Struthio camelus: one gene and its partners. The main gene of each other region encodes a partner of the protein of the gene in region 2 in a complex. Links are inferred from orthologs where the notes say so. Each region holds a gene or a part of one and is shown on either strand. Other genes may lie near its edges.

Region 1 (7,054 bases), on a different chromosome or scaffold from region 2:
TATTTTTAAATGCCCTTGTCCCATCTCCATCCTGCACTTCAGAGCTACCAGCAGAGGAAGGCAGTAGACGATGATGCTGCATTATCTCCGCCGCCCACGCAGGCTGGATTTTCTTAGACAAAAGATAAGCAGGAGAGTCGAAAACTCGTGACTGAGAACTTTCTGATGGCTGGACGGGGCGCTCTGAGCAGACAACGGACGAGACGGCTCAGCACGGCAACCCTATCAGTGCGAGCCGGTTGCACAGGAATTTTGGCCTGCTGCCAGCCAGGGGTGCTGAATCTGGCCGAGCTCTGCGGCTGCGCGGCGAGCGGCAGGTACGCACGGTTTCTCTCGCCTGCTTCGACCAGAAACGCAAACGCACCCAAACTCACCCGTCCCCAGCCAAGCGCTCAGACGCGTGCTATGAAACACCGCGTAGAAGCGGTTTGCCAGGCAGAGGCGATGGGCAGTCCTGCACGGGAAGCCCACAGCCGCCAGCTTTCTGGGGATGCTTCTCAAGACCCCGCTGTCACTGGGGAAACAAAGCACCTACAAGCTGACTTCTCCCCAAAGCTGCTGTAAAATTGAATGTGAACGGCCCTGGTTTTGGCCTTTTTCAGCAACAAACTGCTAAATCCTGTGAAAAAGGTATAAAAGGATGCAGTCGTCTTCTAAATCAACATGTTGCACAAGAAGACGGCTGGACTGAAGCCAGCAGCAGGCATTTCTCACATTTAACAAACTCACCAGCAACAGCTAATCATACCTGTTTGCCTCGGTACTGCACTTCGAGTGTCTGTTACCTCCACTCCTTCACCGACTGAGCTTCGACCCTGCTCAGATGCAGATGCTCCCAAGTGAAGATCGAGGGAGTATGACCCTCACCCACACCATCCCTTGTCACTCCTTTTTGATCCTTTTTGATATCTCTAGAGAGAAATCAAGGAGCTCCCAGTCCCTAGACGGTGGCTGAGCCATCTGGCTGGCCTGTGAAACCCAGAGCTAAGTGGGGTTAGCAGAAGTGCAGCACTGCCTAAAGGTGGCCTTGGAGCACTGTCTGTCACATTCAGACAAAAAGGAAAACTTAGCCAAACCCTAACTAGGCTGAACAGGGATGCTGCAGCTGCTTAAAAAAATCCAAGAAACTTTTGAGGTCAAGGTAATGAACAAGGCCAGGGAATCTTCTCACGCTCAAAATTTCAACTGATCAGGCAGAACGTTTTTTTAACCTGCACTTTTGTCTAGTGTCCTAGGTACAAGAACTTGGATGATATCTCAATCTGCTGTTCCAGTGATTTTTCAGTCTTTGCCCACTCTGCAGATCCTTAAAATTTCCCGAGAATGGCATAGACCCCTGTACAGCATACCTAAGCCTACTGACAACAGGTTTATTCCTCTCAGTTATCCTCCAAGGATCCTCCAGAAGGCACCTGTAGACTCCCAGGACCCCCGAACACCCTCCTGTAGCGAATGCATGAGAACTGTTAAATAAAACAAAGGCAAGGGAGCCAAATCTGATCGCTTTGCTCTAAAGTAAGTTCTCCCTGTGAAATCCATACAGGTATCAAACCCAACTGCAGCCAAAGGCATTTCCTCAGCGGGGCCAGAAACTTAAGACACATAAACGGTCTGTTTTACGGGTATCTGCGTCAATGCTCACGCCCCATGGAAGAATGCCAGTTTTGCACCTTTGCAGCCAGAAAGCATCACCTTGCAGCTGATAACTTATTAATCACTACGTGTGAGTCACAGTCAGGTCCTGGCTGTTCCTCCTCGCTTACAGATTCAATCTTTTGCTTTATTTCTACATCCCCTCCTCAGCAGGACATACGGGAATCGATGGCCACGGCTTCCTTCAGCAAGCCTCGCAAAAACCCGCAGAGGAGGTACTCACTCTAGCCGCTCTTCCTCTTTCTTCCGCAGATCAAAGTCCCGTTGAACAACTTCCCAAACGTGCTTGGCTTCTTCATCAGTCAGCTTGGAAAGATCCAGCTTCCTTCCCATCTCGCGCCGCCGAGTCTAAAGGACAAAAACCCCAGCCGCGTCTCGGGCAGGGCCGTGCAGGAGGCGGCACCGCTGACCCGAGTCCGCCCCGTTCCTTGCCTACCCTAGGAGAGACCGGGCGCCGGCAGAGGGGAAAAGCCCGGCTCCCCCTCCGGGGCTGTCCGTGCAACCCGGTTCATTCAGGGCTCTCGGCGGGCGACCGAGCTCCTCGGGACGCGGCGGCCGGTCTGCCAGGAGATCCCGCCCTGGGAGGCAGGCAGCAGGGCTGGCTGGGGCTTATCAGCTGCGGCTACTCCCCGCCAGCCGGGAAAGCCGCCCTGCCTTCCCCCACGTCCCACCGGCAGAGCTGCAGGCAACTCCACACCTCGCCTGCCTGGCTTTCCCTGAAACGAGACGTTTAATTTGCAGCCTAGCCGCCTGCTTTACATGGGGTGCAGGCAACTCCAACCAACCTTCAAACGCCCGACCTTAAAAACGGGAGGGCAGGCCACGGTGCTTGGGAGGGGGCCGACGCCACCAGCAGCGTCACCGTGCCGAAAACGGCGGCGCCACGCGTTTCCGACCGCTCTCGCGGGAGGGGCTCGGCCGATTCGGGAAGCTGAGCTTTTCTGGTGGCAAACAGGACAGACTTTCCCTGATTTACAGGTTTGATAGGATTTGCAAAAAAAAAAAAAAAAAAAAAGGCTGGGATGCGTCGTCTAGCAGAAGGAATATACTGACATTGAAATAATTCGGTTACCAAAGCTGGCTTCGTTACCGTATTCGCTGCTCGCTCTTTCTGCCAAACTCTCCCTGCGCCACTGAGCAGGACCCCCCTGCGACTGGGATAAGAAAATAAATTCAGTTCTTGTCTTTTATCAGGGCAAATATCAACATTCCCCCCCCCCCCCCCAAACAGGCACCTAAACAAAGAGCGAGCGCAGCGGTGAGGATGAAAAACCACTCTGCCAGGAAAGGAAATTGCAGTCTGCCGGCACTCGTCTCCCTGTCACCGCCAGCCACCCCTCCGGCCGGGTAGGACGGCTTTTACGGCCACTGCTTTTTGTCCGCGTGGTGCAGAGATTTCTCCACCCTGGTAGCTCAGTGGAAACGCCGATGAGGCTCCGGATCCAAACCGGGACGAATTATCGCAGATGCAACTTTGAGTTAGACGTCGGAGGCGGAGGCGGGGGGGACGCTGGCAGTCGCACATCGATTTCCAGCCCCTCTGCCAGCGGAGAGGCGATGGCACCAAGAGCAACGAGTCCGTCGGCAGCGGCGAGACGTGGGTTGAGCTGCTCCTTACGTAAGGGCGCGTTTGAGAGCCAGCGCCGGCCCGCTGCCTCCAAACAGCGGGAGAAGCGGGTCAATAGATACTAATTAACATCACGAGGCGACCCTGTTCGAGGGCCTTTTAGTACGGTTGCGCCAAGAGCTGAGGCGCCTGCCTTCGCTCCTGCCCCCGTCCTGCATGCAAGGGCGAGCGGACAAGGGCAGGGGGGGCGGCGGGCACCGGCTCGCCTCTCGGGACCAGTCGCAACCCCCAGGATAAGGGGGGAGGCTGTATAAAACGGGGAAGATGGGGCCTCCCGCGTAGGGTCAGCAAAGCGCTCGGCGGCGCCGGCAGCCCCAGGAAGCGTTGCTTTAGCTGGAAAAAAACCCATCCCGCCGGGAAGCTTCCTGGATGCGGGGGCACAGAATAAATTGCGAGTATTGCATTTTCTCCCCGATAAGTGCTTTCCTTTGGGGAAACTCCAGGCCCCCTCTCTCCCCCAAACAACCGTGTACAAATCAGCAGAGAGAGATTTTTCTTTTTTTTCCCCTCTTGCAAAGCCAGTTTGTTGAATTTTGCGGCAATCGCCAGCTTCCAGCGAGCGCAGCCTCTGCTTTGGGAAAGAAAATGAAATCCGCCCGACCGCAGCGGCTTACCCTGTCGCTTCTTCCTCTTACAATTATGCATAGAGGCCCCCAAATCTTTCCAAGTTGTGTAAAAGAAAAAAAAAAAAAGAAACCAAACAGAACCACGCTCACAAGTCATAAAAGCCAGATGACACCAGGACCTGCAGCGACCACACGTGAAGGTGCAAGGGAGGAGGCAAATCAAGTATTTCCCATTAGCTGGGCACCTCTGGCAGCCTAATGTAGCCCAAAGCCCTTTATTTCAGTCGAGTTTGGGGCCTAGACCTCCTCTTGGCAAGACAGAAGAGAGAAGCGTTACAAGCTAAAACCGGTAAGGACAAAGCTTGAGCTCAATTTGTGGTTTTGGTCCTGCCAGATAATAGAAGAGGGGGAATTTCCGGGCTCTCGTCTTTAAGGTTGCCACAACCCTGCACAGAAAAGCAGGCGTTTGTGGACGCGGGCAGCCGCGCCGACTGTCAAAGGCCGCCGACGGCGCGCGCTGCCCGCCGCGGGACTAGCGGACGCAGAAGGCAGCACATCCCACGCTGCATCCAGCTCAGCACGACCCGCGCTTCGCCGGCGGCCTTGCTCCCAGCGCGGGGACATCCCAGCCTGGCAGGAGTTTCTGAAAGCCGGACGGAGACAAAGCCACGGGTGGCACCTCCTCCAGGCCGTCCAAGCGGACGCGAGGCTCCGATTCAGGGCGGCAGAGCGAAAAGCAGCCCAGCTCCGGCAAACAAGGCAGCAGCGAGCGTTCGCTGCCGCCTCTGAGGGAGCCTTGGGCGCAGACTCACGGGTGCCTCTGCCTCCGCCTCTCTGCGATCATCTCCGAGTCATGAGATTTCTTAGCTCTGTGATCACATTCTTTCCTCCCTTCGTCTTCTCGGCGGTTTTATAAAGACCTCTTATCATCTTGGTCATGCCAGAGCAGAACAAGCAGGATTCGGAAAGGCGGGGGGTGGGGGTTACGGTGCGGCAGCTACTTCTGCACATGACCCGTCAGGCGTCGTTACGGGTCTTACTATTAATATGACTATTTAATCATGTCCCTGCATGACCATATCTCCTGTGGAGGCAACCAGAATGACTCCAGGAGCCTCACGTAAACAAAACGGTCCTTCAACATCTGTTGGTTAATTTTCATGGAAAAACGATGCTCCGACATTGGTTGCAGTTAGAAAGCTGCAGTCATGGAGGATTAGAAACCATTTGTTTTACTACCACGAGGAAGACTGAGCAGTTCGTATTCTGCTTCCGGCTTGCCTTGGAAAAGCTGCACAATCTCCAACCTCTGTTCCCCGAGTGTTGCCTTAGTACGAAGGAACACCAGGACACTTGCCTCCTAAAAGCTGGTGGCGAGGGTCCCGCCGGGAACTGAATTTTTGCACAGGAACAGCCTTCTGCCTTTGGATTTTCACTAGTAAACTGAACCGGGTGAACTGTGTCAGCGTATCATTTGCGGAGATTAAAAATATAATTCAAGTATCCGCCCGTGGACAGATGGTAAAATACCTGGCAAAGGCTGTCACCCTCTGAAGCTCATAGGAATTCCTAAGGTAAACAGGAGCTGAGCAAACACGAGTTAATCCCATTCGAATCAGCGTGACTTCAAGGCCACTTTAGACACAGCTGTTTTAATGGGTTGTTACCTATTGCAACCCAGCAGTAACAGACAAAAACACAGAGTGTTTTGGGCTAAGCAGACTTGCAGCAGCCATGCGCGAATCCTACCAGCGGTCTGCGAGATGCGATTTGAGAAGCTCTTTGAGCGTCAGAGCCTGGGTCTGGGTAACGTCGGTCACCGAGTTCCCCATCACTGATGTAGGGGAGTTGTGCCGGAGATCAATGGTTCAATACCTCTCTGATGTGAAACGCCCACGGATTGGGCCGGGAGCAGAAATATTTCAAAGGATCACAGGGCAAAGCTGGAGGTCTTCAAGAACAGCTCAGGTGTGACATAGGCCGTATTAATCTTGTCTTGAGGCAGATGATGTGCCTTTGCCCCAGTTGATAAGCCCCATCCATTTTATAACAAAACCTAAGGTTTTCATATCATTTTGACAGTGACGAAGTGGAAGTCTTCCTGCAGACATCAAACTCAAATGATCCTACCAAATTAACGAGAGGGTCATTCAGACAGTTCCATTGTTCCCCTCCCCCCTTGTCTTACGTGTAGTTTGTGTGGTGCCCAGGATCACGGCTTGCGTCAGGGACTTGGATTAGCACCGTCCACACAGACAGAAATGCTGTGGAAGAGGCCGGAGGCTTTGTCAGTCACACTCGAAACCCTGATCGCCGAAGAAGATGCGAGAGAAAAATCAGAATTACCAGGCGAGGACGCTAACTGGATGTGCCCGTTCACTCAACCAGCAGGGTCAAAAATGAACTGCGTTTAAGCGCGCGGGCAGAGTTTGAGAGAGCTAACTGCCTGAGAAACGAAGCGGCTCACGCATGCCTCGAGCGTTTGCTTCAGGCTGTCTGCAAATACCGGCTGTCACCACTGAACCGGTTTCTGCTTTGCCAGAGTTCAGAGGGGGTCTCTAGGCAGAGCTAATGTTGCTGGAAAGAACAAATGGACCCCACGCACCTCTCCTTTGCTACTTAACTGCCTGTCCGCTAAGAGCTGATGGTGGGGAGATAACGTTGTGAGCCAGATGATAGCAAAGGACTCTGTTGTCTGAAGAAAATCAGGGGTGGGGCCCTAGAAGTCAGCTGAGATCTTCAGAGAGGAAAACTTAGAGCCTAAAAGCAGCTTTGACAGTGCTTCATGCCTGGGAACGGGAAGAACAACTGACCGTTTCCCCCAGCGGGAAACCCCAAAACAGAAACGCTGGCGAAGGACCTGTTCGCTGCCCACGGAGCGAGTCAGAGCAGGGTTTTGCTTTTTAATTCCCCATCCACCCAAGATCGTGGCCAGGGGGAAGGAGCGGGAAGGGGCTCAACATCATCTCTGACGCAAACCCCTCGGCCCTGAAAGGCAGAGGACCCTAACGCGAACTGTACTGAGATTTTAAAAAAGATAAAGCCAAAGGAAAGCCTGGGATCCAGGTCTGGCCCTTCGGTGTACCAGCACAAACAAAACGCTCCTTGTTCAGGCTGTCTGGCTGCGCTCCCTTCCCCGAGAAGACCGTGTGCAACCATGCAGCACCCAATGCAATATAGCTGTGCCTGGGGGGAGATGTTTCTGCCC
Region 2 (7,722 bases):
CAATAAGGCTGTCTATACGGTCACCAAATTTAAACAAACATATACATGAAATAAAAGGAAGAGGATTTTCATAAGAGCGGCATGACTTCTGGGAAAACATACGTAGCTCGCTTCTGATAAAAAATAATTTAGCTTGGGAAAATAATGGCTCCTGTATACTATTTCAAGTTAGCATATGTGGTTGGGACAGAGGGCACTATTTTCACTCTGGCATGCAGCGAAGCCAAGTTTGAAGGCTTCACAGTGGATGTTAACAAAACTGGACGCACTGAGGGATAAGGCACAGACCTCCACTTCTGCAAACAGCAGTTTGAAACAAAAAATGAAACAAAAACAAAGTCTCATGCTTTCTCAGGCAATATTTAAAGAGATGTTGATAACTTCTCTGCACCACTGGCACTCCAGTTATTTATATATTTTTATCAACTTTTTTAGAAAGTAATTCATACAAACACAGCTATCTGCGCAACTTGGACAAGCTGGAACGTGGACTGACAGTGGAAGAGGGGTAAGTGAGCTTTCAGATACTCATTTTCAGACCACACAAGCACTGGCCCAGTCAGTTTGCACTACAAACTCATACCCTTCCTTACCCGCCAGCAAAACATACATGCCAGTACCATATGTTAAGTGTCACTTTTAAGTTGGATGCTCTGCTACTTTAAAGAGCTGTCCTGAATGACAATCCTGAACGTGCCTGCCAGTATAAAAAAAGATGTGAAAGTCACTTTTCCTGTGCCTACATATGGTTTTAAAGAGGATAAGAATAGCCTGTTGTGTGAGTAAAGCACAGAAGCAATCTCGATGATCTTAGTCATGCAGTAAGTCCCCTACTGGAGCACTATACCCTGCACTTGTTTTGCTTTTTTGTTTGGTCTTTTTTGTTTGTTTTTTTTTTTTTTAGCTTTCCCACTCCAATCTTAAATCCATTATTTATGTTACTTGATCAAGGATGAGGTCTGTTGTTGCTACTCGCTAAAAGAGATACTGAACTTGATTGAATAGCAGGATGGTTTTACCTGGGGACAAGCAGGCAAAGAGGGGAAGGATGCAAAGACAGTCTCTCTTTCTGCCCCCAGCGACTTCCATATCCAGGTGCCTGTACCAGAGGCAAGCCTTCTTCAGGAACTGGAAGGCGGCCCTGAGCTTTCCACTGTAATGTAGCGCCGAGACAACAGGACACCCACATTCCTGGGGTAGTCTCTGACTAAAGGACTTAACCTTCCAAGGAAGTGAATTCCAGCTATGACAGGGATTGAATTTAAAACAAAAAATAAGTATCTCGGATTAACTTCTTATATGGACATTTTAATTCCGTAACAAGAACATCCACAGAGAGAGGTAAATCAAGATCAACTTTCCAGAATAACTCCTTGCATAGACAAACTCCATTGGGTGCTTGCGAACAACTCTACTCCATCATTGCGCTTTTGACCAGAGTGCTAATTTTCACCCCTTTTGCAATTACAGTTAATACAGATACTTGTCTGTGAGATATAAAACATAAAGATGCATCATATACACTAGTTTATTTAGCTTTCTTTAGGGCATGCAGGCACATATCTTACTTCCTTACATTCAGTCTACACAAATACACTATTCAGATGTGGCCAATGAAGCCTACTGAAAGGACTGTCCAATCTGATTTGTACCGATGCATGTGCAGGGTGCCGGCTACCATAGCTCACGGGGTGGACTCCACAAATAAGGTGGACTATTCATGCCAAAACAAACAGGCTGTTTCCTTTCTCTTTCTCTCCTCACACAAAGAACTCGACTGGGGATAATTTAGGAGTATTTCATCAAGCGGTTCAAAGATCTAGATGACACGCCTTTCAGCAAAGCAGACTTTGACTTTTTAAACTTGTTTGGGGGAATTCTGCACTGTACCATGGCGCTCGCGTCGGGTGACCCCCCCAATGATCCCTTCTGCCCTGAAGAACATATGGTCAGCCACTCTTCTTTAGATATTTTGCGCTATAACTAGACAGAGGAATGAAAACGATGCATTGCTAATGCATGAAACGATCATTTCAACAGCTCTCAATTTGCAAGTTTTCCCATCAGAAAGATGCGTAGGGCAATAACTGCTTCTGGGTACAAGCTGATGAGATACTGAAACGCAAACCTAAAAAGATCAAAATATTGTCTGTTGAAAAACTGCGAGAGAGGCACCTCCCGCATCACCGCTGGCTGGAGGGAGTGCGAACGCCTGCCAGAAGAACGAACGCGATCTAAAGGTGCAGTGTCATCAGAAAGGTTAGTTTAACGCCACGAGGCCCCCACCATATATGCTGTAGCAGCTGCTTCTCTAAAAGGAATTTGACGACGTTTTTGGAAGACGTGGCTGAACGACACAGAACCGTACGAAATCGTTATTTCAATCCAAACATATTAAAAATAGCGACACGTAACTAGGAAGCTGACTAAACCCTTCGGAAGGGCTCGCTCCCGGGAGGCGTGCGTTGCATAAGCTGGGGAAGGGGTAAACGCGGGGTTTTGCTGCTGCTGGCGGCGGCAGCGGCGGGTCGGGTCAGCCGGGGCCGGGCCGGGCCGGGCCGGGCCGGCAGGAGCGGGGTCCCGCCGCCGGCGAGCGGCGGTGCCGGAGCGGCCCTGGGCACAGGAGGCGCCGCACCGCGCTGCGCCCAGCGCGGGGTCCGGCCCGGCCCGGCCCGCTGCCCCCGGCGGCGCCTCGCCACTGCGGGCGCGGCCGCCTCAGGGCGGCACCGCGAGGGCCGGGGGGCCGCGCCGCCTCCGCCCCCGGCCCCGGCCCCGGCCGCTCCCGCCGCGCCCTCAGCCCCGGCCCCGGCCCCGGCCCGCCGCCGCCGCCGCCGCCGCCGCCGCCCTACCTTCGTGTACAGCTCGGAGGCCGCCATGGCGCTGCGGGCGGAGGAGGATGAGGAGGAGAAGGATGAGGAGGAGGAGGTGGAGGATGCTCAGGCGGCGGCCCGGGCGCGGCGCGCCATGTCGCTACCTGGCGGGCTGCGGGGCCGCCGCCGCGCTCTGTGCATTGTGGGAAGGCGGCGGCGGCGGCGGGCGGCCCGCTCGGTGCCGCTCGGCTCCGCGCCCCCGCAGAGCCGCGGGGGGGGGGGAGGGGGGGCGCGAGGCGGGAGCCCCCGGCGCGGGTCACGCGCGAGCCCCCGGCCGAAAGGCGGCTCGCGCCGCTCCGCGCGTTTCTCGCCCCGCGGCGGGGGCGCCGGCGGCGGGCGGAGCGAGAGCCGCCCTTGGCGCGGCGGCGGCCCCGGGGTCGCTCCCGCTCCCTCCGCGGCGGCCCTCCTGCCACCGCGCCTGTTCTTCTCCTCTCGCGTGTCTGCCTTTTAAAGCGCAGCCTTTTCCCCTTTCAGTATTTTCTCTCACTGATTATAATCCCAAATGTCCAAGTATTTCCAGCCTTTTGCAGCTTGGTAACTTCTACGAATTGTGCGTCTTTATCACCTAGGGCATTAACGAAAACACGGAAGAGAACGGGCCCCCTTAGGTAAGCCAAGCCCAGTTCCCCGAGGGAAACAGATGCACGTCTTGGAAAAGTTTAACTTCCACGTCAAGAGAACGACAAGCAGAATCCATGTTCGGGTTGGGTTGTGAGAAGGGAGCTCATTTGCTTTATGAATCGTTCGTTAACTGGAGTTTCTTACAGCGCGCACTGTGGCAAGACTTCTCTGATAACAGGACGGAAGCCACTACCGTCTCGGGAGTAGTTTACTTTTTCGCCTTGGGAACGCAGGCCATCGTTCATTGCAAGCGGTCCAGAGTACAAAACAAGATCGAAACAGGCATCTTTGCCATACTCTGCATCAAAGCGCTTTGAGTCTTCAAGCAGCATCTCCATGAGAAATTCAGCTGTTTAAATAGCAGCTTTGTATTCAGCAGATAGTATCTGCACCCCCACAGAAACGCGCAGCTAACGCTAGCAAAGAAATACAGAAATCTGTTCTACAGATAGAGAGAGCCATGAAAGAGATGGCCTCAAGATTACACATCAACTCTTGACAGCTAGAAACAAAAGCAAGCTCCCTGGACTCCCAGAATAAACTCCCAATAAATGCTATAATCGCTAGCTGCACTTTACTGTGCTATCCGAAAGAAAGGAGATAGAGAAGGTAGTAAAGACAAATGAAAAAGATGAAAAATAACTGAGATGAAAATATGGAGCCCTACTGATAGTTGTTCATGTTAGCTCCAGATACAAGATCATGGCTAATAAGCTAAAGTTAGTAAGTTCAGAAAAGAAGTTTAAAAAATTGTTGATTTTGCTGGGAGAGTTCAGAAAGTTGAAACTGGTTTATCAGAACTAAATTAAAATAATACCTTCCTTCCCATATTTTGCCAGTATGTCCAGGATTATCAGCTGAGATTACTGTCATTGCCCCCTGTCTAGGTGGCACACTGCCATTGACAGAACTGGGACACTTGCTCTCAGTCCTAGGAGAAGCCAAGGACAGAGTCCTGCTAATTCGAGCCCAGGTCAAGGCAAGAAGTTTGCACGGCTGCTCTTTGTATGCCCACTATGGTAAAACAGGGATCTAGACTACAAAGCTACCAGTCACCTTTGATCTACAACAGAAAAGAACAAGTGGGAGTAATAGCGATTTGGGCTTTGCGACTCTGATCACCCCCCTTTAACAGACTTGATGCAAGAATCTTGCTATTTGGACCACAAAAATTCCCCAGTTTTATTTCCAGAAGGGACCTGAATCTCCCCTCGCACATGTGTTGCTTCATATCTGATATTTAATAGCCTTTCTTCAGGATGTCATCTATCCTAAATTCAGGATGCCCATTTCAGGAGTTCAGTTGGACTGTGGATTACTGTATCAGCCATTCACAGCTGGCACTCAGGAGCCAAATGTAATTACAAGCACCAGCAAAAAATAGATAGCTGAGTCCAAAATACTCTATGATTTGACACAATTTGCATAAACCAGGATTTCAAACCTGTCATTAAGGACAGGAATTGGGGGCAATGAAAGTTGTAGAGAAACAACCTGTTTTTAATATATCTAGAGTGACTGCTTAGCTATTACTTTAACAAGTGGCTCCTACTTCAAACACTTGCTGGTAAAATTTGAAAGATGTCCTCATCTCATACCTTGCACAACATCCTTTCACAAAGATCATGTATGGCATTTTGTTTCAGGACAGATATATACACAGTATTCCAGCTATGAATGGCTCACGTAACTGACACAGTCCACATACACAATTTTATACTGAATTTCAATCCCATCAAAAAAAGTAGGAAAGTTATCCTTCTAGGAATTGAGATTAGTTTATATAACTTTCTTCAGAAGTAACTACAGAGCATCTGTCATGTCTTTTGCTTATATCCATGTTCTGTTTATGCTCATAGTCTGTTCAATTGTGGCATAAAAAAATCCCCCTCTGAATTAGGGCTACATGCTCGGTTGTTGTCATGTTGTGCCACAGTGATCAATGGATTCTCTGCTGATCAAATGAAAAACAGAAATCATTAGAGGCGCAGAAATAACACACACTGGTAACATGAGGAACATGGTATTAGTTTATATGATATAGTGGATAAGCCCAACCATTCCCTCAGGAAAGCTCTTGTATATCCAACGTTGACCATCAGTTCAATTCCAAGGTTCCACTGGATAGTGGAAAAAGCTAACACAAAGTTAATTCAGGAATTCACAGGCTAAAATCCTCACTCTCTCCTTTCCTGTATTCTCACACATCAAGGATTAGGCCTATAACTTTTAGCTGTAGGAAACAAACTGCGTTGCTTTCAGCCAGTACTGACTGAACAGTTAAAAATCAGTTGAAAGCGCTGAAAAGTAACATAAGAGAATCATATTCTGTGTACATATTCTCCAGATAAAACTTGGGATTTACTTCTATTTTTGTGGGCTTTCAGAAAAGAGTAGTCTTAAATAGCATAATGACTCTTAACGGCATGATGAAATTCCCATATATTCCCCTAGTATTCTCATCCTACTAGGATGATTTCTGCAGCCTTTAGAATTTACTTATTTTCCTCTCAATGTAATAGCAGAAATTCTTTTAACAGTATAAAAAACATCACCTGAGAACAGACTTGCTGCTTAGAAGAACCTGCACCTCCCAGTTCTTGCATCTAAGCATCCTTGTCATTTCAGCACTATAATTCAACTCCGAGAAAATGCTGTACATTTAAAAATCCAGAACCTGTTTCTCAAGACCCTTATAGTTGTTTTGTTTTTTGTTTCCCCTCAAATCCAGTAAGAAACAACACTGTCATATTAGCACTCCTTTTAAGACAGGAACATCACCAGAAGTTGAACCGAGTCTCTACGAATTCAAGTTATCCTGCACCAGAAGTGGCAGAAGATGGCTATTCCATAATACTGTCAAGGGAAGCTGACATATCATCTAAGCATATTCCTCTTTAAGTAACAGCTGCAATATTGTCCTGCAATAAGGTGAACTAAAACCACCAACTGGAATCTGCTATTAAATTAAGACAAAGTCAGAAACAAAAACTATTTCATATTACTGTCTTAAATTAGAGTCAAATAAACATCCATCTGAAACTGGTGGAGTCTTTGGCAATGTTTTCCACAGCCATAATTAAGCAGACTCCTGTACCTGCTATAAATATGCAAAAACACTTATACATAAAAATACATGAAGCAGCACCCCAGTTGCAATAAAAAGAAGCCTGAGAAAGACAGGCACAATTCAGTCACCTTCCTCTAAACTAAAGCTAAAGTTTATCTGCTGCTGTGCAAGTATTTCAGAAGCGTTTGCAAGAGAAATATTTAATGTAAGCAAACACCTTGAATACATACAGAACTCTTAGGATTTCAAGTTACTCTGGATCTAAAGATGCCAGAAATTAGGATGGAAAAAGCCAAGTTTTGAGCTTAAACTATTGCAAAGACAAATCTGCAAGAAGGGGGCTCACTTGTACTACAGCAGAAATAAACATCAAACCATACATTCAGCCCAGCTCCACTTTTAAGTTTAAAAGCACTCTGCCTGCTCACATGCCACACATGCTCCCCCCGTCTACTCTTTCACATCTCTCAGAAAGCCCCCTAGTCATCAAATCAACACCTTGCTGCCATCTTGTCTCCCTGCTGATTTGAGGCAGGCATACTCTACTGTGACCACAGCTACCAAATGCAAAGCTCCTTTGAATGCAGGCCTGTGCAACTCTACTTGCTTCATTTTCAACTGGAAATAGATTTGGGCAATGAGCCTGTATTTAAACAGTTTGACTTTGCCTGAAAATGGATGCCACTCCCCATATACTGAGATTCAGATGACCTAGGACTCTTCACGCTAGTGCTAATGCCACCTTTGCACTGCCTCAGTATGGTATCCGGACGACACTACTTAAACTGGACATTGTTCTCCTCAGTTTGGTACAGATGTAGAGCAGGTAGGGTGTTAGCCTAGATCTGGTTAATGAACTAACTGTATAAGCATACCATGAGGCTCTTGAAGTTGCACAGAAGACCGTACCTAAGTCACAATCGGAATATAAAATCAGTGGGATTCCCCCCCCCCCCCCCCCCGACCTTGATTTCTTGGAAACTTTGTCATAGTCCGGTCAATACAATCTATAGCAATGCAAACTTCTATATGCCAAGTTAATCCCCAGAAATCCCCCTTCACTCTGTACATGGGACCAAAACAATCATCTATTACAGAGTTTTCAAACAATAAGCTTTAATTGCCTTATTAGAAAAATAAGCACTGAAATATATATAAATG
Region 3 (7,843 bases), on a different chromosome or scaffold from region 2:
TGGCACGGCGACGCTGGGAAGCTCTCGCTGAACTCAGGTGTGTTCGTGTCTGGCCACATCTGGGGACGGCAAGCAGCACACATAAAGAGTGAGCTAACTTTGTAAAATGTTCTCTCCTTTCACGACCCGAGTTTATTGTGACACCTAATGAAACTGGAATATGTGCATCTAACCCCACAGGTGCTTTATGGAGTCATCTTTAATTCTTGTGGCTTTTTAAGGATATTTTTGGCATATGACAAAGGAAATCCATGTGAGTGTCTTACCTGAAAACAAACATTGCATGCAACACGCAACCCTGCTGCCAGCGGCTCTGGGAGCCGCGCGGGGAAGGGCTCCTGCCCTCCATCCCGGCTCCGCATCCATCTTTGCAGCACATTGTGTTTCAGTGCGGAGGGTGGTAGGAAATAGGAAGCACTTTATAACCTTTTCCCAACCTTTTCATTTTGTCCTATTTCATGTACTTTTATTTAAACTTCCCCTGTGCACATACACACTTTGCTTTTGTTTGATTTTTTCCAAGATGGTGGCTTTTAATTACATCTTGATTTCATATTAATTACAGTTTTACCCAAAGCAAAGGGCTTTGTGCTTTGTAATTCAAATATATTCCCATGAATCCTGCAGGCTGCGTTATTATCGTGGCCTTCAAACACCCCGCATCTTTCCTGCTGCTATCCCCGACGGTGCCACCCTGGCTGAGCCTGGAGGGCACCGGCAGGTGTGTTCAAACGCGATGCAGAGCAGGAGCCAGCAGCCGGCTCAGCCCCACGCGTACCCCCTGCAAAGGGCAGCAAGCCGATGCTTCCTCCCTCTAAAGTCACTTCCAAAGCAGGCTACAAAGCTGGCTGATTACAGGGTAAATGGTGCATTCCAATCTCATCTATCTGTGCAGATGGAGACTCAGACTTGAGTGTCACAGCCCAGAAGTGCCATATTTTCCTTCTCAACGCTGATGGGGCTCCCTCCAGCTGGCCGGTCGGTCCTGCTCCTGTTCCTATTCCCCATTTCCTCCCCATCGGCTCCTTGGACTGCACCGGAGCGGAGCCAGGGGTGCCAGGGATGACTGCACAGCCGTCTGGCCCATCCCTGTGCTGCAGTGACGGCCAAGCACGTCACAGCGCCGGTAGGGAGAGGTGGCTGAGCCGCAGCTCCTTGTCTCTTCCCTGAGCATCCCTTTGGCCAGGGGAGCAGACGTGGGTGCTCCAGCATGCCGGGCAGCAGCCTCGGACACCCGGGATAAGCCCTTGTCCTCCAGACGTGCTTCGTGACACCCAACACACCACGCTACCTTGCCTCCCTTCTGCCTCCTGCGGGGGAGCCGTGGGGCGGCTCAGGCCAACGGGACCAGCCGCACGTGGGGCTGGGCAGAGGGAGGCAGCTGAGCCCCCGAACAAAACGCCATCCTTGGTCAGCACTTTCTTTGGGCAGGTTTTGATCAGAGAGGCTTAACGGGGCCGTTGCTGACTCGCCCCCAGCGTGCCCACTCCCAGCCCAGCAACTGGTGCATTTGATAACCCCGCAGACACACAGACTTCGGGGAATCCCTGTCTGCCCTCCTCCTTCCCGAATCCCAGCAGGCACGTGCAGGGTTTCTCTCCAGTTCTGCTGTCGCGTTTCCTTCGCGCACTGATCCCACTAATGCTACGCACGTTCCCCCGTCCTGGCACCGGGGCAACTTCCAGGATTTCTCTTCTCTTGTTGCTGGGACAGACAAATACCCGTGCACCAGCTCCATCCCTCTCATCAGCCTGTCAGTGCAGCTCGCCTGCCCTCTGGGCTGGTTCCAGTTTATGCTCATGGGTTAATAGAGCTGAGATGGGCTAGGATGATCCTTCTATCATGAAAATGGATAGCTCATAATGACAAGAGCTTTAATTTGCTCCAGCTGACCTTTCACAGAGGGCCCCGCTGCTCTCTCTGCTCTCCAGGACTGTCTTCCAGAAGGGAGCGAGGGTCTGGAGGGCCTGCTGGGTCTCTGCCAGCCCTGTTTTCGGGCACCGGGCCATACCACCGTTTCCTGATGACAGCACGACCTTGCCGCCTGCCCTGTACCTGTGGGCCATCGGCCTCCACTCGAAGAGCGAGAGAGACTCCAGCTCCCCATCTCAGCGCTTTCCTGACGGCTTCTGCTGGTTGTGGTCAGGCTGAAATTATACTGCAGCATAAAGAGCTCTTCTAATTCGCTGCTTTTCCTCCCTGCTATTTTTACTGTCACGGCTGGACCTCTTCTCCCCCTGGCTGGCAGGACTAACCAGCCCAGCTCTCCACGCTCCTCTCCCCTCTGCGCCGTCCTCGCAGCTCACCTGCGCGTGAAGTGCTCCCCGGTGAGCATGGGCACCAGCGCTGCACGCCGCGTCTCGGGGGCTGCGCCAGCAGCCCCACTTGGCTGGAAGCGTCGCCCTGCCCGGGGCTGCGCTGCACTGGCAGCAGCTCGCGCATCACCTCCCTGCCCTGCTGGGCCTTTCCAGCCAGGGCGACCTGGGATTACCCCAGAAACTCCCGCTGCTGGCGTTGCCCGTGCTTGAGCTGTTGATTTTCAGCCCACATTCTCCTATACTGGTCGGCAAGGCTCGCTCCTTCCCAGGTGACCTCTGGCCATTGGAGGTGACCCAAGGCCATACGGGGGCCGTGCACACTGGGCTGCGGATGCCGATCCATGGGGTGAACACCTCGTTGCACATGTGCCCCCAGAAAGCTCCTGGGAAAGGCCTCCACCGCCACCAAAGAGGAGCAGCAGCAGGATTTCCCCAGCCCCGGGCGCTCCCGGGGCTCCCAGAGCTGCGGTGTCCTCGCAGCCAGCAGCCCCCGCTCTGCCGGTGCATGCGGCCGAGCAGCCACCCTGCTAAGGAAGGCTGGGGCAGATCAGTTGCCCAGGACAAGCTCTCGGGAGCTAATCATTTCCATGCCTCTGGTCTGTCCGGTCCGGGGCTGAGCCACGGGCGGTGCCCATGCCACAGCAGTGAGGTGGCAGTAGCCGCAGCGCTGAAGTGGCCATACCAGAGCTTTTAGGTGGCCGTGGCCAAGCCATACCTGCACGGGGCTCACTAGGGCGGTGCTATATGGACCAGGGCATGCTGCACTGGCAGGGTGCCTCGAGGTGGCAGGTGTCACCCCGGTCCCCAGGGCCCTTCCTGCTGCCAACCCCCATGCATCTCCCTCACATCACAGGTGGGAGGACAAGTCCCGGCCCTGAGCCCCCCCAGCAGGCCTGCACTGGGGCAGCATCCCACAACCTGCTCCACACCCTGTGCCCTGCACCCTGCTCTGCGCCTGGCACCCTGTGCCCTGCAGCCAGTCCTGTGCAATGCACCCTGCAGGAAGCTGTGTGCCCTGCACCCTGCGCCCAGTTGTGTGCCCTGTGTCCCACACCTTGCACCTTGTGCCCTGCACCTTGCACCCTGCACCCCCTCATGTGCCCTGCATCCTGCACCTGTGCCCTGCATCCACTTGTGCCCTGTCCTGCAACCCGCCAGGTGCCCTGCACCTTGTGCCCAGTTGTGGGCTGTGTCCTGCACCCTGTGCCCTGCACCCCGTTCTGTACCTGCGCCCTGTGCCCTGCACCCAGCTGTGTGCATTGCACCCTGCATCTGGTTGTGCACTGAGCCCTGCACCGTAGGCCTGGACCCTGCACCCTGCCAGCCCAGACAATCTGTGCCAAGCAGAGCTGAGCAGAGCTGAGCTGAGCTGAGCTGAGCCAAGCCAAGCCGTGCTGAACTGTGTTGAACTGAGCTGAGCCAAGCTGAGCTGTGCCGAACCGAGTCAAGTCGAACTGAGCCTAGCCGAGCCGAGCCGAGCCGAGCCAAGTCATGTCGAGTCATGTCAAATCGAACCGAACCGAGCCGAGCCAAACCGAACTATGCTGAGCCAAGCTGTGCCCAACTGTGTTGAACCGAGACGAGCTGAGCCAAGTCGTGTCGAGCCCTGTCGAATCGAACTGAACCGAGCTGAGCCGACCCAAGCTGAGCCGACCTGAGCCGAGCCTTGTCGAGCCCTGTGGAACTGAACCAAATCGAGCCGAGCTGAGCTGAGCTGAGTCGTGTTGAGTTCTGCCGAGCCAAGCCGAGCCGAGCTGAGCCGAGTCGTGTCGAGCCCTGTCAAATTGAAACAAGCTGAGCCGAGCCGAGCCGAGCTGTGCTGAGCTGAGCTGTGCTGAGCCGAGCCGAGCCCTGCTGAGCTGAGCCAAGCCGAGCTGAGCTGAGCTGAGCCAAGCCGAGCTGAGCTGAGCTGAGCTGAGCCAAGCCGAGCTGAGCTGAGCTGAGCTGAGCCGAGCTGAGCTGAGCCAAGGCGAGCTGAGCTGAGCCGAGCCAAGCTGAGCTGAGCTGAGCCAAGGCGAGCTGAGCTGAGCCAAGATAAGTCGTGTTGAGTCCTGCCGAGCCGAGTCCTGTAGAGCCGTGCCGAGCCGAGTCCTGTCGAGCCGCGCCGAGCTGAGCTGAGCCAAGGCGAGCTGAGCTGAGCCAAGACAAGTCGTGTTGAGTCCTGCCGAGCCGAGTCCTGTCGAGCCGTGCCGAGCCGAGCCGAGCTGAGCCGCGCCAAGCTGCACCGAGCTGAGCCGAGCCGTGCCAAGCCGTGCCATGCCTTGCCGCGCCAAGCCGAGTCCTGTCGAGCCCTGCCGAGCTGAGTCCTGTCGAGCTGAGCCGCGCCGCGCCGTGCCGTGCCTTGCCGCGCCGCTCGGCGCCGCTGCGGTCGGTACCGCCCAGCCCGGGGCGCTGCCCCCAGCGGCGGGCGGGGCGGGCGAGGCGGGGCGGGACGGCTCGGCTCGGCTCCGCGCCGCTCGGCTCCGCGCCGCCCCCGGCCCGGCCCGGCCCGGCCCGGCCCCCCGTGCGGCGGCGGCGGCGGCGGCGGCGGCGGCGCGGGGATGGGGCGATGGCGCGGGCGGGCGGCGGGGGCCCGCGGGAGCTGTCCCTGGAGGAGGTGCTGAAGTGCTACGAGCAGCCGCTGAACGAGGAGCAGGCCTGGGCGCTCTGCTTCCAGGGCTGCCGCGCCGCCGCCGCCGCCGCCGCCGCCGCCGCCGGGCCGCTGCGCACCGCCGACATCCGCCTCCGCGGCGACGGCAGCGTCGCGCTCCCCGCCGCGCCGCCCGGTAAGAGCCGCCCGCCCCGCCGCCGCCGCCGCGCCGGGGCACGGGGGAACGGGCTGCGGGGGAACCGGCATCGGCATAGGGCCACCGGTACCGGTATGGGGCGATCGGCACCGGTATGGGGCAGCTGGCACCGATGTGGGGCGACCGGCACTGGTATGGGGTGACTGGCACCGGTATGGGGCGACCGGCACCGGTATGGGGCGACCGGCACCGGTATGGGGCGACCGGCACCGATATGGGGCGACCAGCACCGGTATGGGGCGACCGGCACTGGTATGGGGCAACTGGCACCAGTATGGGGCCACCAGCACCAGTATGGGGTGTCCAGCACTAGCATGCAACTGGCACCGATACAGGGCCGCCGGCACCGGTATGGGGCAACCAGCACTGGCAGCGGGGGTGACCGGCATCAATACGGGGCGAGTGGCACCAGTATGGGGCAACCAGCACCGGCAGTGGGGGTGACCGACACTAATATGGGGCGACTGGCACTGGTATGGGGCAACCAGCACCAGCAGTGGGGGTGACTGGCCTGGCATGGGGCAACCGGCTTCAGTATGGGGTGACAGGCACCGGCATGGGGTGACCGGCACTGCCAGCGGGGGTGACCAGCACTGGTATGGGGTGACCGGCACTGCCAGCGGGGGTGACTGGCGCTGGCCAGGAGGACCGGCAACAGCACTGCGGCTGCGGCACCGGGAGCACTGGCAGCAGGGTGACAGGCACCGGCAGTGGGGACTGGCACTGGGGAGAATGGGTGGCCGGGCAACGGGAGTCACCATCCGCAGGGGCACCAGACCTGGTACTGCAGGCACTGGCGGGGGGGGGGGGGGGGTGGCTGCACCGGCACAGCCGGGACCTGCATCAGCACTAGCACAGACAGGGGGTGGGCGCACAGGGGTCCAGGCCCAGCACGGCACCCGCACTAGCACCAGTACCAGCACGGTAAGGTTGGGCCCTGCCCTGAGAGAAGGTTCCCAGCTGATGCTGGGATGCATGGGGTGCGCCGTGGGTGTGGGTGTAGGGGCTGTGGGGTGTAGGGTGTATGGTGTGTAGGGAGTGCGCGGAGTGTAGGGGGTGCCCGTGGGTGCAGGGCTCACGGGGCTGGCAGCAGGACACACAGCAGGGACACGTGGGGACACACAGCAGACACACAAGGGACACGGTCACACGTGGGAATGCACAGCGCACGCGTGGGGGTGACACATGCACAGACGTGGAGACACACACACACACACAGAAGCAGAGACATAGGGACACAGAGCACACATGTGGACCCACCTGCACATGCATGGGGACACACAGCACACAGGGGAACACACGGAGCACACGCAGGACACACACATCACACACGTCAACATGCACACAGCGCATGCCTGGACACACATGCAGCACACAAGCACACTGACACGCACAGGCTCCCCAGCCCTGGCCACCCCACGCCCTCACCCAGGCACCCCGGAAGAGGCCGTTTGGAGTAGCACTCTCCCCAACCTTTGGACCTGCCGGCCGTGCCCTCTCTGCAGGCGGTTGGCGCTGCTGGGTAGGGCCAGCTGTGTTTATGGTCTGTAATTATGGCCTGTGCCAGCAGCAATGATGGGTGGCTCACAGCAGCAGAGATTAGTACCCCTGTGCCTAATGAGAGAGCTTGCACAAATTAGGCTTAACCCCTGCCTCGCCCCGCATGGGAGGTGAAACACCTCTCTCTAGCGCTGGCTGGAACCTGAGACATTTGCTGGCTCCTCTGAGGTTCAAAGATGGCTCTTGGTGTTTCACATTATCAGTTGCTGCAGGGCTTCCCTGGGGTGTTTGCAGCCAAGAGGTGCTGCGGTGTCTGCGTGTCCCTGCTCCGGGCAGGGGATGCTGCGGTGTCTGCGTGTCCCTGCTCCGGGCAGGGGATGCTGCGGTGTCTGCGTGTCCCTGCTCCGGGCAGGGGATGCTGCGGTGTCTGCGTGTCCCTGCTCCGGGCAGGGGATGCGGCGGTGTCTGCGTGTCCCTGCTCCGGGCAGGGGATGCTGCGGTGTCTGCGTGTCCCTGCTCCGGGCAGGGGATGCGGCGGTGTCTGCGTGTCCCTGCTCCGGGCAGGGGATGCGGCGGTGTCTGCGTGTCCCTGCTCCGGACAGGGGATGCTGCGGTGTCTGCGTGACCCTGCTCCGGGCAGGGGATGCGGCGGTGTCTGCGTGTCCCTGCTCCGGGCAGGGGATGCGGCGGTGTCTGCGTGTCCCTGCTCCGGGCAGGGGATGTGGCGGTGTCTGCGTGTCCCTGCTCCGGGCAGGGGATGCTGTGGTGTCTGCGTCCCTGGTCCGGGGATCCAAGCAGGAGATGCTCCCTGGTGCACAGGGCAAGGAGGGAGCCGAGCAGGAGATGCTCCCTGGTGCACGGGGCATTTGTCTGCGTAGCCAGTGGCCAGAGGAGGTGGAGGTAGCCCGGGCTGGGCTCCCCATGGTCTGTGCTGTGCCCAGGGGCCAGGTTGGACCCGTGGCCCTAAGTCCTGTGCTCAGCAGAGACCTCTCCTGGCCCAAGCTCGGAGCTACGATTTTTAAGTTAGGTGAACCCAAGCATGCTGAGGGCTACGGTCCTGCAGGACCAGTGCCCCAAGCTGCAGGCCACCACGCTACCCCATGTGGCCTCGCCGTCTCCTGCTCCTAAATCCTTTCAGTACCATCCTGAGGGATTTTTCCCCCTCTCCCCTCTGAGTGGTTCAAAGCCATTCAAAGCCATATGATGAATCGGGGTCATTCACTGTCCAAGCCCAGAGCT
Region 4 (7,019 bases), about 12 Mb from region 2:
GCAGTGAGAGACAGCCAGATTACAGAATATTACCCTATTATTTTAAAGCAAGCCAAACTATGAACTCAACCCCCAACTACCACAAGCCTTAAAGTTGGTAAGCCCAAAAGAACAGTCCTCCTGGATTAAGCGTCCTTATAGACCAACACCCAGTCTGATAGCAGCCCAGAGTGGATGCCTGAGAAACACTATGAATAAGAGAACAAACAAACTAATCTTTGTCCTAGCAGGCCCTCACATCTTCAAACAAGCAGTACCTTCAGGCTTTCTGTTCTAATCATCACAATAAGAGTGCCCCAGATTTTTCTTCCCCTATGGATCTGTAAAACCTTTCAAACCCATTTATACCTTTCGTTTATGACAATAAACTGCTCCAAAATTTGCATATGTCTTCAGGGAGATTATTCCCTATTTGTCTGTATCACTCAGTTTAATTCTAATAAAGTTGCACTTCACTTCAAGATGAGGAATATGAATCTTTTAGGTCTCTCTCCTGATTATTTTGATGCTCTTCTCCATCTTTTTAATTCTGTAACAACCCCTTTGAAAGGGGTATGACAGTCCTTCCTGCATTTCCTTTCAATCCAAGAAGTTCATGTCTCAGATTCAAATACTGGCATAATTCTCCCATTAAGTTCTCAGGTCATCTTCAGTAATTTTTTTTTTTTTTTTTACCTACTACTTGCATTTTTGACCAGTGCCTAGTAACGAGCCATTAGGTTCAGAGAACTACTCACAACAATTCCAAGATCTTTCCAGAGAGGTGATAGCTTGTTTGCTATCACCAACACATTTACGTATTTACAACTGTTCCCCCAGTTTGTATCACTCTGCATTTGTTGTCATGTTATTTCAGCTACCGACAGCTAAATATTTATCTCAGTTCATGTGATGTTGCATGAACCTCCTGCAGTCGCCTTTGGCTTTGACAAACCTGAATCAGCACTTCACAGCACTATTTTCATAGCATCACCTATACTCTCAATCCCATCTATAAAATAACCTTAACACAAAAAGCTTTGGGATGGGACAGTTAACTAAACTAGCTTTGAACATTTCTATACAACTGGATCCCAGCTTCATGAAATATTTCCCCATTATACAAGAAGTTTCATTAAAAGATGGCAAGTCTCCCTACAAACCCCACTTCACTTATATTCTCACACCTTCATAGCTTCAACATTAATCACAAGCATATCACTGACAGAACTTATAAATAAGTAAAGTGATGGTTTGGATAACTTGTAGATATAAGTACCTAAAATAAGACTGTTCACTGTGATTAAATTAGTGGCCAGAGAGGCCTTTGCATATGCTGCAAGCGAATATGAGGGGCACTTTTTGGAACTGACCTGATTTTAATTGCTGTACATACGACTGATTTATACTCAGAAATAATGTCATTTTCCACATGGAAATTGGGCAAAAGAGACAGAAAAAATTAAATTCCTCAAAGTTGTTACAGGAAATTAAGAGCACAGAAAGTAACACTGCTTCTTTCATTTAGGCAACCAAGTTTCACGATGCCAGTAATCGCATCTCTCACCATGAGAATGTACCAAGGAGTATTATAAATCCTAAACTCAGATGTCCAGTACAGTATCACAGTAAACAGCTATTTTAAAAATATTCCAAATATCCAATTTTAAAACGCTATCATAGAAGCAAGCAACTTCAGAACATCAGCATTTCAGTTTGGGTTTCACTGCATGCTTTACGAACCTTCACAGCAGACTGGCTTTTTGGACTGCAGGGAGTGAAAAGGGAATACTTAAGGCAATCAAACATCTTTAACCTAACTCACTGATGTACAGCAGACTGAAGGTGCACCAGTCCTGGAAAATAAGGTGTTCCTGCTCTACTCTGCTGGGTGCCATATGAGGTGCCAAGAAGGAAGACCACTGGCTGTGAAATAGGAGTTAACTAAGGAAGGACTGAAAACACAGAAGACAAATAATACTATTTTATTAGTTAGCTACATTTTCTACTAACGTTAAACGTAAGAACAATTTATTTTCTTCACAGTTCCATTTAAAAGCTGTAAAAGGAAGTAATTCTTATCCATCTTGGGCATTCTCACTTAGGATCTTTGTTCCTAAAGGCTGGCTGCCACCTCAGCCCACTGACAGAGCAGAAGCCTTAAACAAGACACAGACAGCACGCCAGATCACTGAAATGGAAACCAGCCCAAACTTACCATTATTTGCGGGGAGAACAACCAAAGCCGGCAGGCAGCGCTCCGGAGCGGGCAGCGGCTCCCAACGCCGCCCGAGCGATGAAGCTCCAGAAACCTCCGAGCCAGGGTCGGGGACTCCCCGCGGGCAGCGCCCCCGGCCGGGCAGCGCCCCGGGGGAGGGCGGCCCCCTTCCCATGATCCCCCCAGGGCCGGCCCCGGGGCAGCCCCGACCCCCACCCCCAGCCCGCAGCCGACACCGCCCGGGACCGGCCCCGCCAGGCGGCAGCCGGGCAACGACCCCCCCCTCCGCCAAGGGCTCCGGGGAAAAAGGCCCGAGGGGGCGGGGGCCGCCGAAGGAGTGGCGATGGAGCCCCCCCAAACCCGCTCCCCCCCCCCGCCGAAAAGGGCCGGTCCCGTGAGGAGGCCGCTGCCCCCCGCCAGGCCCAGACCTCCCCCTCCTCGGGGAAGGTGACCCCTCCGGTTGCCATGGCGACCGGCCGCCGCAGGCCGTTACCTTTGAAGAGATAGTCGTACTCGTCGTCGCGGGTGCCCATGGTGCGGTGCACCGAGGCGCGGCGGGAGGCCGAGGACCGGGACGGGCAACGGGAGCGGGAGCCGGAGCCGGACCCCTCCCTGCAGCCGCCGCAGCGCTTCCGCCCTCCGCGCTCCGCTCGCCCGCCCACAGAGAGATGCTTCCGGGGCAGCGCCGCGGCGGTACACGTCACTTCCGGAGACAGGCGACAGTGCCCCCCCCCCCCCTTAAAGGTGCGGCGCCGTCGCCAAGGCGGGGCGGGAAGTGCGGTGCCGCCCGGCGCCGCCCCTCAGAGCCCCTCCCCGCCTACCGGCCCCGCAGGCCCCGCCCCGCCGCGGAGCGGGCGGAGGAAGCATTAGAGGCGGGCGGGGCGGGTGATGACCACAGCGGTTCCATGGTGTAATGGTTAGCACTCTGGACTCTGAATCCAGCGATCCGAGTTCAAATCTCGGTGGAACCTGAAATTTTCTTTTTTTTCTTCTGTTTTCCCACCCCCCCGCCCCCGTCGGTTTTGTTCGTCCTCTGCCTGAGCAGTGGCCAGGCGCACGCCTTCCTCCCCTCCACTCTGTGCTGCTCCACAGACACAGGGCCGTATCTAACGATTACACCTCACACTTTCTCCTGATTTTAGCCCGCTAGTCCTTTCCCCCGCTGGGGAGTGGCTACCATCGCCCTGTCCCCACGGGCCAAGGACGGTACCGTGGGGGCTAATTTTCTGAGGGAGAAAACCCCAGAGCTGTCTCCAACTGTGCCGAGACCAAGGCGGATCGGAGGTAAACCCACCACGGCTCACAGAGCGGTCAGCAGCCCCGCAATCTGGGGGCACGTAACGACACGTCAATGAACTCTGAGTTAACGAGGTGCATCCCAGCCCGGGGCGGAGGTATTCGCCTCCAAGCGGCTCAGGTTTGCCACGCTCCCGCCGTGAGAGAGAGACAAAAATGGCGCCGGGGCCGTGAGGGAGAAGCAAAAATGGCGTCGGGGCCTGCGGGAGGCTGCGAGGCCGCCCCGAGGCGGGAAACGGGGCCGCCGCGCCGCAGGAGCTGCTGAAAGCTGGGTTTCTTCTGGAAACGAGCGGAGAGGCCGGCTCAGAGACCGACCGGCCGCGTTTTGGTCGTCCTCCGGGTCCGCTGGCCAAGGCCTCGCCTGGTCCTGCCCGTTGGCTCCCGCGGCGCGCGCCGGAGGCCTAAATAGCGAAAGATAAAAATAGCCCTCATGTCCAGACGATTAAACCGAAACCCTGAAAACTCATTCTTTTCCCACCGGCTTGCCGTCAGCAGGAGCTGTGAGTTAGCCATCGCTACAACCAGTGGCGGCGTTACCGTTGCCGCCCGCTGGGCGTCAACCCTGGGGCGCCCGCCGCGACCCGGCCCGGCACCGACTGTCGGCTGCAACGAGAGCGAACCGTGGCGCGCGCCTTGCGCTTCGAAAACGTTTCCGGCGGCTTCAGCCAGGCGGGAGCTGCTGGGCGAGGAACGCCGATAACAAAGACGCCCGGTGTGAAGCCGAAGCCCGAGTCGCCCGGTAAGAGTCCGGCCGCCCAGGGGCGCGGAAGTGGAGCGGGAGCCCAGGGCCGCCGTTGGCTTCCTTCCTGGGGCGCGTGGCGACGTCCGGCTTCTCGCCGCCATTCGTGCACGAAACCCGCTTAGTGTTGAGGGCTCCGCGGCTCCGCGGTCCGGCTCTGCAGGCGAGGCGGGGATAACGGTGTCTACGGGCGTTGCAAGACCAAACCCCGCAGCAGCAGGCAGCACGCGGGTAGCAGCGCAGCCACGAGGTCTGCGGGAGTATGTGCGGTCTCTGCGTTGACCCTTTTTCTCTCCAGATGAACCCCGGACGCTCAAAATGCATCTGAAAATGCTAGGCCGCTCCTGCCGCTCTGTTCTCTGAAGTTATCTCGATGCAGCAAGACGGGATTTAAAATTAATAATGGCTTCTGATGTGTGTAGAGGCTGTGGTGTATTTATAGCTCTGTAGTTTCCATCTCACATCCTATTTTCAGGCTGCCATTGAACTTTGTCATTAAAAAACTGTTAATTTTAACCTGACGTTTCCCAGGCCTAGTTTCACCCTTCAAAGATGCTATTACTTAAAAAAAAAAATTAAAATAGCCCAGTTGAAGTATTTTTAGTTGGCTGTCTGTAAGAGTTGTTTCGTTTTGGTGCTTTGGATTTTGTTTGTCAGCTGAGAACCTGGAAACACCCTTTATTTGCATTTTTCATATGTGTAAGAGTCACTTCCTCTTGCACCAAGTTGCAGATGTTCCTAGTCTGGAACTGGCACAAAGTAAGGAGAATGGCTCTTCCGGCGGAGCTAAAAGTGACGGCCCCTACATTGCTGTACAGTTACAACTTGGCAAAATTAAACAAGGCATTGCCAATCATGTGTTGCAATATGAAATTTCAGCAGATTGCCATGTACGTGAGTAGTCACAGGGGTTATTTCTAGCTGAGCCATTTAAATGCTTTTGCTCATTTGTATTCAGGTTCTTCATGGTGTAGACAGGCAAAACTGAAATAGCAGAAAGAACTGCGTGTCTGAACAGGAGTAAACTGATAGCAGTAAATGAGGATAGCATTGGACTAGCAGGGAGCTCTAGAAATTAAAAAGCCTTATAGTCTGGTCAGTGCTGGGTTAATTCTGTTCCTGATCATGAAAAGCCCAGGTGAGAATGTACAAATCCTCAGGAAATGCCACTGTTAGCAAAGACTGTTTTGGCTGTTCTGCTCCTTCTTTGTGTCCCCTCCTAGAGTGTGCTGCTGCGTTACGGGATGGCCTGGGACACCTCCTGCTCGTATGAAATGTGGCCAAGAAGCAGAGGTCAGGCCTGAAATAGCAGAGGACTATGTGCTCTGGGACTGGCAGCTTCTAATGTGAAGAAAGTCGTTCAGCGCTGGAATTTCTGCTTCGTTAATTGCCGTTAGTGCTGTACTTGTGGGAACGCTAAGTTCATTGCAAACCCTGAATTTTCACTGGCTGTTAATTCTTCACGTTGTGCTTAGAAAAGACCATTTGTGGTGGCAGCATGTTGCAAGCAACTGGAGCAGAGACAAGGACTGATACTCAGCTGGACCTTGGATGTTCAATTTAGCAAAGAAAAGAAGCAGAGGACACACTCATAACTGTGTATTTATGGTACTTTTCTGGAAATTATACACCAGTGGCCAAAAAGGCCCCAGATTTTGCCACAGCAGCACATTTAATGTGCAGGTGTGTGCGTTAGGGCTGTCAGCGCAGACCTGCTCTGCCTCAGGCGCTGTGTGTCCGGCTCCCCCCACGCACCCTCGCTTCATTCTCCCACTTTGCTCCTGCCACCTACTCTTGCGACCCTAAGAGGAATCCTCACCTAAAAAAAGTAAGAGGAGTTTTGCCCCCATCTTTGGCGGTTCTAGCTTTCCCACAACAAGGTCAGGGTCTCTTTGCAGAAAGCACTGGTTGGATTTGACATGGAAACAGAAGAAATTGAAATAAGGCAGGGGCAGTAGTTCAGCAGTAGAGCTGCTGGTCCCAGATCTTCTGACTCTGTATTCTCCATCCACGCTTTGCAAAGCCCATGAAATTGGCAGCTCAGGGAATGATTTGGGGTAGGAGTCACAATAATTCAGATTGCCCTTGAATGGCTGCTGACCCAAATTCCTGTTTCCCAGGTGAAAGGAGTCACCAGCTTCCCCTGTCAGAAGGCAGGAAGAACAAAAGCAAAGCCCCACAACCCATCCTACTCTATCACAGGAGAAATATTTCCTAAGGGGGAAATCCAATCGATACTTTCCAATTTTCTAACAAACCATGAATCATTGCAATTATGCAGAGATAATTCAAGCTTTCCAATGCAGCAGTCACATTAGAGATGAAAAGCAGGCTTTTAGCACTCACTACCTCCGACTTGACATAAGTCAATCAGAAAAAAGAAAGCTTAAGTATAAAATCCATCCGTTGAAATAACAAACTTTTCTTTTTAGGGCTCTGGACCAGAGCAAAGGGTCTATGATGTACAACGGGTTCTATTTTCGGACAGTTCCATGCCAGAGGTAGGAGTAATAAAAATGCATGGAGTAGAGAGAATTTTTCTGTTGATAACTTATTTGAACGCCAGCATACAGTCTATTCTTCTTCTACTTCTACAGCTCATATAACAAGAAATGTTCAAAAACATTTTCTGTAAATCAGCCTTTTCCTTCCTAACTCTGGAGCTGGAAGAACAAAGGATCTGGATCTGGATCTTTCCAAAGCCTTTCCTAACCTCATCCTAGTTTTCTAAAGATCTGAAGAAAGATAGAGAAGGCAGCAGCCCTAGAAAAGATTAACAATCTGCTG

The links.
Region 1: the proteins of MYO5A (region 2) and MLPH are in contact, whole or in part, in a crystal structure (PDB 4KP3), measured with the Mus musculus proteins. The link is inferred for Struthio camelus from reciprocal best matches to the Homo sapiens genes MYO5A and MLPH. Residues at the interface, in NP_034994.2 of Mus musculus: Asp1524, Val1527, Arg1528, Leu1531, Thr1532, Ile1535, Asn1536, Lys1539, Ser1570, Gly1571, Leu1588, Thr1589, Asn1590, Phe1591, Asp1592, Leu1593, Ala1594, Glu1595, Tyr1596, Val1599; in NP_443748.2 of Mus musculus: Lys184, Lys186, Arg187, Leu188, Leu189, Ser190, Phe191, Arg192, Asp195, Phe196, Glu197.
Region 3: the proteins of MYO5A (region 2) and SPIRE2 are in contact, whole or in part, in a crystal structure (PDB 5JCY), measured with the Homo sapiens proteins. The link is inferred for Struthio camelus from reciprocal best matches to the Homo sapiens genes MYO5A and SPIRE2. Residues at the interface, in NP_001369276.1 of Homo sapiens: Asp1551, Val1554, Arg1555, Thr1559, Ile1562, Asn1563, Lys1566, Ser1597, Gly1598, Leu1615, Thr1616, Asn1617, Phe1618, Asp1619, Leu1620, Ala1621, Glu1622, Tyr1623, Val1626, Asp1629, Leu1630, Gln1633; in NP_115827.1 of Homo sapiens: Arg404, Pro405, Arg406, Val407, Leu408, Leu409, Lys410, Ala411, Pro412, Thr413, Leu414, Met417, Glu418, Met420.
Region 4: the proteins of MYO5A (region 2) and RAB11A are in contact, whole or in part, in a crystal structure (PDB 5JCZ), measured with the Homo sapiens proteins. The link is inferred for Struthio camelus from reciprocal best matches to the Homo sapiens genes MYO5A and RAB11A. Residues at the interface, in NP_001369276.1 of Homo sapiens: Ile1660, Gln1661, Trp1738, Met1742, Arg1745, Tyr1746, Ser1749, Gln1750, Glu1753, Arg1756, Gln1777, Gln1780, Val1781, Lys1782, Lys1784, Met1795, Glu1818; in NP_004654.1 of Homo sapiens: Arg33, Glu35, Ile44, Gly45, Val46, Glu47, Phe48, Ala49, Thr50, Gln63, Trp65, Gln70, Tyr73, Ala75, Ile76, Ala79, Arg82.

What each region holds. Positions count from the first base shown.
Region 1 is NC_090947.1:4,446,233-4,453,286, reverse strand, and holds the start of MLPH (melanophilin), read right to left. Parts: upstream 3,008-7,054; 5' UTR 2,889-3,007; intron 2,808-2,888; 5' UTR 2,744-2,807; intron 2,590-2,743; exon of another isoform or gene 2,454-2,589; intron 2,451-2,453; exon of another isoform or gene 2,002-2,450; 5' UTR 1,987-2,001; coding exon 1,877-1,986; intron 1-1,876. UniProt on the Homo sapiens protein: Rab effector protein involved in melanosome transport. Serves as link between melanosome-bound RAB27A and the motor protein MYO5A.
Region 2 is NC_090953.1:15,083,507-15,091,228, forward strand, and holds the start of MYO5A (unconventional myosin-Va), read right to left. Parts: upstream 3,010-7,722; 5' UTR 2,877-3,009; coding exon 2,850-2,876; intron 1-2,849. UniProt on the Homo sapiens protein: Processive actin-based motor that can move in large steps approximating the 36-nm pseudo-repeat of the actin filament. Can hydrolyze ATP in the presence of actin, which is essential for its function as a motor protein. Involved in melanosome transport.
Region 3 is NC_090951.1:1,815,484-1,823,326, reverse strand, and holds the start of SPIRE2 (protein spire homolog 2), read left to right. Parts: upstream 1-4,832; 5' UTR 4,833-4,866; coding exon 4,867-5,083; intron 5,084-7,843. UniProt on the Homo sapiens protein: Acts as an actin nucleation factor, remains associated with the slow-growing pointed end of the new filament.
Region 4 is NC_090953.1:3,552,798-3,559,816, forward strand, and holds the start of RAB11A (ras-related protein Rab-11A), read right to left. Parts: upstream 3,010-7,019; 5' UTR 2,731-3,009; coding exon 2,691-2,730; intron 1-2,690. UniProt on the Homo sapiens protein: The small GTPases Rab are key regulators of intracellular membrane trafficking, from the formation of transport vesicles to their fusion with membranes.